Linked DNA regions of Zea mays. The protein of the gene in region 1 binds, or shares a complex with, the protein of each later gene. Links are inferred from orthologs where the notes say so. Each region holds a gene or a part of one and is shown in the gene's direction. Other genes may lie near its edges. The genes, in order: DNA topoisomerase 3-alpha-like and RecQ-mediated genome instability protein 1-like.

What was found.
Region 2: DNA topoisomerase 3-alpha-like (region 1) and RecQ-mediated genome instability protein 1-like share a complex: the UniProt entries of both Arabidopsis thaliana proteins name them as parts of the RMI complex. The link is inferred for Zea mays from reciprocal best matches to the Arabidopsis thaliana genes TOP3A and RMI1.

Annotation. Positions count from the first base shown.
Region 1 is NC_050096.1:13,716,392-13,720,217, forward strand, and holds part of DNA topoisomerase 3-alpha-like, read left to right. Parts: intron 1-1,254; coding exon 1,255-1,329; intron 1,330-1,955; coding exon 1,956-2,045; intron 2,046-2,191; coding exon 2,192-2,296; intron 2,297-2,870; coding exon 2,871-2,905; intron 2,906-2,986; coding exon 2,987-3,116; intron 3,117-3,280; coding exon 3,281-3,333; intron 3,334-3,408; coding exon 3,409-3,505; intron 3,506-3,597; coding exon 3,598-3,636; intron 3,637-3,765; coding exon 3,766-3,826. UniProt on the Arabidopsis thaliana protein: Releases the supercoiling and torsional tension of DNA introduced during the DNA replication and transcription by transiently cleaving and rejoining one strand of the DNA duplex.
Region 2 is NC_050097.1:70,867,450-70,871,375, forward strand, and holds the start of RecQ-mediated genome instability protein 1-like, read left to right. Parts: upstream 1-1,153; 5' UTR 1,154-1,171; coding exon 1,172-1,918; intron 1,919-3,926. UniProt on the Arabidopsis thaliana protein: Essential component of the RMI complex, a complex that plays an important role in the resolution step of homologous recombination, in a process called Holliday Junction dissolution, to limit DNA crossover formation in cells.

The DNA of each region.
Region 1 (3,826 bases):
TTAATAAATGTGTGGTTCATATTGAAGTGTATAAGTGGATTACCTACATTTTCCTAATAGCTTAAGCTTTTAGGTTAAACTGGTCAGTGTGTCCACTCTAACATGGTATCAGAGTCAGAGGTCTCGAGTTTGAATCCTGGCAGAGGCTTTATTTGTGCCTCTGCCCCTTTATTTCCACGTTTGTACCTTTCTTTGTGGCTGCATGTGAGTGGGGGTGTTGAAGTGTTTAAGTCATGGTTATTAAAGCGGTAAAACGTTAAAACGTTATGAACGAACGTTGAAACGTCTTTTCAGACATTACATAAAATTTCAATTATAGAATATGTTCATACATAAGTTAAGTACTTGAGTTTGAGTTCACAAAACAAAATGAAACAGATCAAGTTCAACCACACAAGTTACAACTTGTATATATGATCAGTAACCATAAACTCCTAATGACTGAAAGTCTGAAACTAGGGAGGGCATCACTGTCTGAACTGGAAGACTGAACCTGGAACTCTTGATGATTGAAAGTCTAAAACTAGGGAGGGTGGCGCTTCACTGGCCTGGCAGCGCTGGAATGTTGGAGGATGGAGAGGGAGGAGGAGGCAGAGGAGAGGAGAGGAGAGGAGAGGAGGGAGGCTGTCAGCACTGGACGCCTGGCAGCCCTGTGTATTTTTTGGCCTGTGAAAGGCCCAATAACACGTAGAACGTTCTGAACACGCCTAGAATGTCCGAAAACGAGAAAACGACGTTTAAGCGAAGTTTAAACGTGATAAACGGACGTTCTACGCGTTTTTGCTAAAACGACCGGACGTTTGTCGTTTAAACGACGTTTAAGCGAAGTTTTAATAACAATGGTTTGAGTTGAACTGGTTAATGCATTCACTCTATCAGTTCACGATTGTTCCTTCCTTATATTTGGTAGTATTTAATAATATGTACTCTCTCCTTTCCAAATTATAAGTTGTTCAGGTATAGACATAGTGTATAACTAGATGAATAGCAAAAGCTATGCAACTAGAAAAGCCTGAATAACTTATAATTTGGAACAGAGGAAGTATTTAACAAGTTCATTAGTAAACCAGTTAACCGTGGATACAGGAAAAACTGTTGTACCCAAGGAACCTCAGCAAGTCATCTTTTTTTCACTTTCATATATTATTTATGTATTATCACGAAAATTCATACTGATAATAGGATGCTTCCATTAGTTGCTTCACCTGGATCTGGCGATTGTTCTTCTTTCAAAGAAATGTTTTCTTCTTGTAGAAAAATTATCTGGATGTTTACCGCTTTGACTCATGGGGTGGAACGTTACTTCCAACATACAACATTGGGCAGCAGGTTTGCTGTAGTTATATTTCACACTGCACATTTTTTTTGGTTAAGTCATTTTCTTACTAAGATTTTATTGTGCATGACGGTTAACAAAAACTGGTTAAAGACTGCAGATAAATTCATAATATGAATTGAAAATATGGCCCTTTCTCTGTATTAATAAGTTAATATTACTAATGATGTATATCTAAAAATATGCAATATGTGCAGCCGTGTGTAATTTGTTGCAATATGTATGGAGTTACTCAATATTAGGCCGAACCATTCACGTCTCGTAAAATGAAGCGGTGCTCCAGCAGAATGCGAGCAGGAGAGAGAACGCGTGAATATGTGGCACGAAGGAAGGGAGCGTGGATGATGTGTAGCCACATACACAGTCTACTGGATGTGCTACAGTGTATTTTGATTGCGCAAATTGCCGATGCAAACTCAGATACGGCAGCTGCTGGAAATAGCCTTAGTTGGGTCTATTGTGGACCTCTATTTTTCTTCTTAATATAATGACGCCTCGTGCGCGTTCGAGAAACATAGTTGCTTGATTTATCTTAGAGATGACATTGATATCCAACTTTTTGTATCCTTTATTAACCAAATACAAAACTAACTTGACCTATCAATTCAAAATCATGCAGTTTGTTCCGACAACTTTAACACTTGATTCTGGAGTGACTCGGCCACCGCCTCTTCTGGCTGAAGCCGACCTTCTTAGCTGTATGGATAAAGTAAAAAAATCCTTCTTTTAACCCACGTTGTATTTTTTTATGGCAATAACTTCGTATTCAGAATTGGTGGATTGTGCCACTTAATGCATCTACATATCCATAATTTAAAATCATGCAGATTTGACATTTTCTTATTATATTTCCAGGCAGGAATTGGCACTGATGCAACCATGCATGATCACATAAAAAAGTTGCTTGACCGTTGTTATGCAACCAAAGATGAAAACACACGTTTCTCCCCGACAAATCTTGTATGTAGATGCCATGTAACTATCTTATTTGATCTTTTTTTCATCTACAGTCTTCACTATGGAATGCTTGCTTCTTGAAAAAAATAAAGTTATGCTAAAAAAGAATAAACACAGACCTGCATTCTTGTTTTGGCTAGCATACTGTAGCATAGTATCCAGATCACTAGAGCCATGTATGCCTCCATTAAATCCTCTTTTTTTGTGCGGAAAGTACTCTTATCCTTATGAGAGTTCTACTATTTGATGTCCAAAAGCAATTTTTATTTTTTTGTTTATGTAAGAGATGCATACTTTCCACGGTATACTTGCATTTTAATCTAATAATGACGTTTGTTCTGCCCCCCCCTCCATTGATATAGTTTCTGATGATCCACTTTGTTGTGAATTCGCAAATAACAATGAGCTAGAGCCTATGGCTTAGAAGTAAGATCGTGATTATTCCACATTATATAAGATTAATTATTCCAATTCATGAGTAATATTGCCAACTTTTGAGTTCATTTGTCTTCTTGAAACATAATCTTTTTCTTTTTTAATAATGAAACAAACTTACGATTTTTTGGGAAAAATGTAGGGTGAGGCATTGGTGATGGGTTATGATGAAATGGGGTGAGTTGACTCTTAAAGTTGCTGCACTTACTGAATATATAAAGGATGATCTGGTTGCTTTGCTCAAACACTACTTTTTAGGTATGAGCTTTGGAAGCCTTATTTAAGATCAATGATGGAAGCTGATATGAAATCAGTTAGCGTGGGTACTAAGAGTAAATCAGAAGTACTTGAGAGTTGTTTGCAGCAGATGAAGGCCTGTTTTCTTGACGTAAGTTGTAAATTTCTTGTATTTCATGATACATGTACATACTATTGTAATATTAAAACCATCGCAAAAGAAACAAAACAATGACATTGCGACTATTTTATTATACACATTTCTGAATCTGTATACTGTAATTTGATTCGATGGTGGTTATTGGTGCTATACAGGCAAGGGTGAAGAAAGCAAAACTCCTTGATGCAATGGGGACATTCTTTGCAAGGTGTTTGATTGGATTCATAAGCCATTCTTTACTTTGTATGAATTCCTGCCTTGAACTTGCCCTTTTATTTTCTAGGTCTAATAGGCCTATAAATGAAACTCAAAATCCAGTAGAGGTTGTGAGGCCTTGTGGTGCATGCAATGGATCTGAAATGTTGCTTAAGCGAAGGGCGGTAAGTTGTTCCGTAGTGACACTTTTCTTTCTTTTCTAGAGAAATTGGCATTACTCTATATAAATGCTTGAACTTTTCTTCTTTTCTGTCAGAGTGGTGAATTTATGGTTGGGTGCCGAAGTTATCCACAAGTGAGTAACATGGTATTTTGATAGAACTAAATTACCTTATTATGCTGGAAAATGGAACGTAGAACTGAAGTCACTGACACGGTAATTTCTGCAATGAGTTTGACATTAATAGCCGTGTTGATTTTTCAGTGTAGAAACGTGGTATGGCTCCCAGGATCTCTTTCAGAAGCGGCTGTAACTAATCAAGTTT
Region 2 (3,926 bases), on another chromosome or scaffold:
AACCCTGGGTGCGCGGTCGGGTCCCAAACACCGACAGTGGGGTCTGAACCCATACCCTGATGGAAGAAGGGCGGGATACACTGGGTGAAGTTGTCTAATCAATAGAACATTATGCTCAGATGTTTTTAATATTGAATATAAATTGTATATATGTATATACATTTTTCTGTAAAATAAAAAATATAATCGTGTCGGGCCGGACCAGCACTACGGGCCCAGGCTACAGCCCAAGCACGACACGACGTTTTTGGCTCTTACAAGTATTAGGTCGTTTCTGATACCACATTGGCGCAATGGACTCCATGATGTTTGAGGTTGATGAATTGGATGGAGCAACAATGATTTGTCACACTAACAGTAAAATGAAAGATTATTTGTTTGTTTTAAACGTCAGTAACTGCTACGTAGTAGCATAATTTATATGGAGCGCATCCAGTTTTTATTGCTCCCTGACTTTAGCAATCACTCCATATTTTGATCCATTTTTTTATAAGTTTGAGTTCATGTGACTTATTTTAGAAACTTGAGCTCACAAACTCTCTTATTTGGTTTTTGTATGGTGAAATTATGTCATTTTATAATCTCTGTTCGTTCAGTCAATCGTTGTGAACTCTTTTCTAATCGCTCACTTCATTGGTCGTGTTGTCACATGTCATATTGCATGGAGTAAACAATAACATCAGTTAGCCAAATTAAGTAAAATATTATACGGAGAGCAGAGACAATCAATAAAAAATCTTGATTTTTTTGGTGAATAGTTTACGTGGATATTGTTGTAAGCCGTCGCAACGTACGAGCAACCGATTAGTAAAGATCAAAATGATACTATTTAACCTTTTGGATGTAAATTTACTCCTTAACCTTTTATAAATCTATAATCATACTAATTAATTGTTCTACTGTAGTGGTATATAAGACTTTGTATATATCTCTAGCTAATATAACACGCGCGCTCTATCGACTAGTACTCTAATTGAGCCGAAACCAGCGACCCTAAACCCTTAACCCTACACGTCATCCTCATTTCTCAGTTCCTTATCGGCGTCCTCCTCCGACCTCCCCACGTTCGACGGTTCGAAGCCTCGGAGGGAAACCACCAAAAATTCTCCCAAAACCCTTCGCTCATTTGGTTTCCATATGAAACGACCGCCAAAAACTTCCTTCCCAAAAAATGAGGCGCCGGAACCTAATTGTGCATTCTGATTCCGACGAGGACGACGGCGAGGGCATGACCACCGCCACAACCCCCGCCTCAGTTTCAGCTTCCGTCGCTAGCGGCGGCGTAAGCGGCAGCGGAAGCGTCGGCCGGCCCTCGCCCCAAAACCTCAGCCCCCTACCAGTCCCCTTCCCGTCACTCTCGCTATCTTCTGCCCCCTTCGTCATCTCCGATGACGACGAGGACGTCGACGAGATCGTGGACCCTGACGGGGACTCTCCCATCGTTGACGCCCCTGAGGTCTTCTCCCCGCCAGCTCCTCCCGCGCTCCATGCTCCCGCTCCCGCTCCCCCTTCCCCTCCCCCTCCTATCACTACCCCGTCCCAGACCCCAATCCCGACTCCACCTTCGGCACGGACCCCGACCCCGACTCCGCCTTCGGCGCGGACCCCGACCCCGACTCCGCCTTCGGCGCGGACCCCGGCCTCAATAGCGCCTCCGCACCCGTCCCCGCTGAGCGGCCGGTTGCGCCCGGTGGACGAGTTCCTGCGGCGGCTCGGGTTGCTTCTGCGGCCGGACTGGCTCGAGTCCTGCGCTGCGGGGATTCCCGGCTTCGACGGCCTCGGTGGTGTTGAGGCGCAGGCCAGGCGGTGCTTCGAGCAGTTTCTCTTCGCCGATATGAACTCTTGCGGTGCTGGGGTGCTGCCGGAGGGCGTCGGGGGCATGCACGCTGAGTTCCTTGATGGCCCCTTCGTGCTTCAGGTTTGACATTGCATAATCTAATTTGTGAAAATGGCATCTTACTTTGCCCTGCTGAGCTATTTACACTTGAGATCCATACTGTTTCTATGCTCCTATTGTGATTTAACTAATTATTAAATCCCCGAAAAATTTGTGGATACTTCTGATTGGTGTAGAATGTATTGATCGAGAAAACGAGGTGTTATAGCAATATTCAAGTTCTTGCTATGAAATTGCTTCTCATTGGTGATCAAAATGGTGAATCAACTTCACATGCTTAAATCATCTTCAAATTTATGATGAAATTCAAAGCAGTTCTCTGTCCATTCCACTCGGTTCCTCACCCTATGCCATACTATTTCTTCTTCTTCTGAATCGAGTAAATAATTAGAAAGAAAACAGAGTGTTGGACACTAAATTTGGCACATGGACGGTCTGGCCTTGTGACCTTGACAGTGCGCAGGAGTAGCCTGAACGGTTCACGATTATAGATTAATTCAGGATAGAGTCCTTATCTTGAGTGAAAGGGCCTCTTGACGAGTGGGTTAGGTGGTCTGAGTAGCACTCCTTAGGTCCTGAGTTTGAACCCTAGTGGGGGCGAATTTCAGGCCGAGGTTAAAAAATGTCACTCGTTGCTTCCTCTGGTCGTGTGCACACGAGATGGACTGACCTATGGAGGCGGATCCTTGTGTAGGGGCTGAGAGGGCTCAAAGCACTAGTAAAAATCTGGTCAATAGGGGGCGGACCCTCATGTTGCATGAGGGGCCAGCTTTCGTGACCTTTCTCGGTCGAGGCTCTAATTGAGCTTCTTCTTAATTTAATACCGTGGGGGCGGTCTTTCCCCTATCGGTCGAGTTTTTTTAGATTCCTTATCTTGTGTGTGGTTATCCTAACAATCTCACGAGAAATTGTTGGATCTCTCATAGGAACGGGTCCAGATCTCCACACTATATATATGAAGGGGTATGACCGATTCAGAACACAATCCAATTACCTTATTTATCTTCATGTCTTAGGTCTATAGCGTAGCTTTAGTTGTAGTTCCCCAATCTCAATCTCCATCTCTCTTCGACTCTACATCGTCTAGAGGCGCTTTGGGTGGCCTGCCGACCCCGAAACAACTCTACAGTCTCCTCCCCAACGGGGTCTCTCCCGGGAGACGAGATCTAGTTTAACCTGAGAGCTCTCTGCGCCATCGCGGATGGTTCGCCGTCCACCCGTGGATGGTCTGGTGCCTTATCACAGACCGTCCGGCACACCACTGGCTCGTAGAGCAGAAATAGAGGTCGAGTTCAAGACCGCATTATAGAGCCAACCTCAAGATCTTGCACGCCGCATGGAGGCTTTAGAGTTTGTTGGCATTTGACCCCAAAAAGGTGCCAACACAGATATAAAGCCCTATATCTGTAAGCTAAGGCTACCACCAAATCAACGCTACACGAAGCAACAGATACAAGATGCACGAAGCAACAGATACAAGATGAGCAGAATTGAAATTCAAAGTCAGTTCTAACAAACTCCATTACTCTACTAAGGCACCAACTATCAAGCTACCACATCCGACTATGACTGATAGTATTGTAGTCCACAAGATCGTTCTCTTTACACCAAAAAAACTTTCCAGAGAAGATCAACGGTTGGCCGACACACGATCTTCTACTAGTTTGCTTGATCATCAGCATCCCTGTGGGTTTCTTCTATCTCCATCGGCACCGAACTGCTTTGCACCAGCATCCTTGTAGCTATCTGAAGCATAATATCCACACTTTCCAGTAGCATTCCTCGAGCTTCCTTGGAATATAGACCTTCCCACTAATTCATAAGAGCTCACAAAGGATTTCAGCAGGATTCCGAATGAACTTATTCTTATAGCAGGCTTTGTTTCTCATTTTCCAGGTGGCCCAACAGATTGCTGTGACCCCAATAGTGTAGAAGTGTCGCCAATTTTGAACCCATCTACAATACTGAGATCTGTGCCATAATAATTCTCTAGCCTTTTGGCTTACTAAATGGCTAATTGTGCATTGTT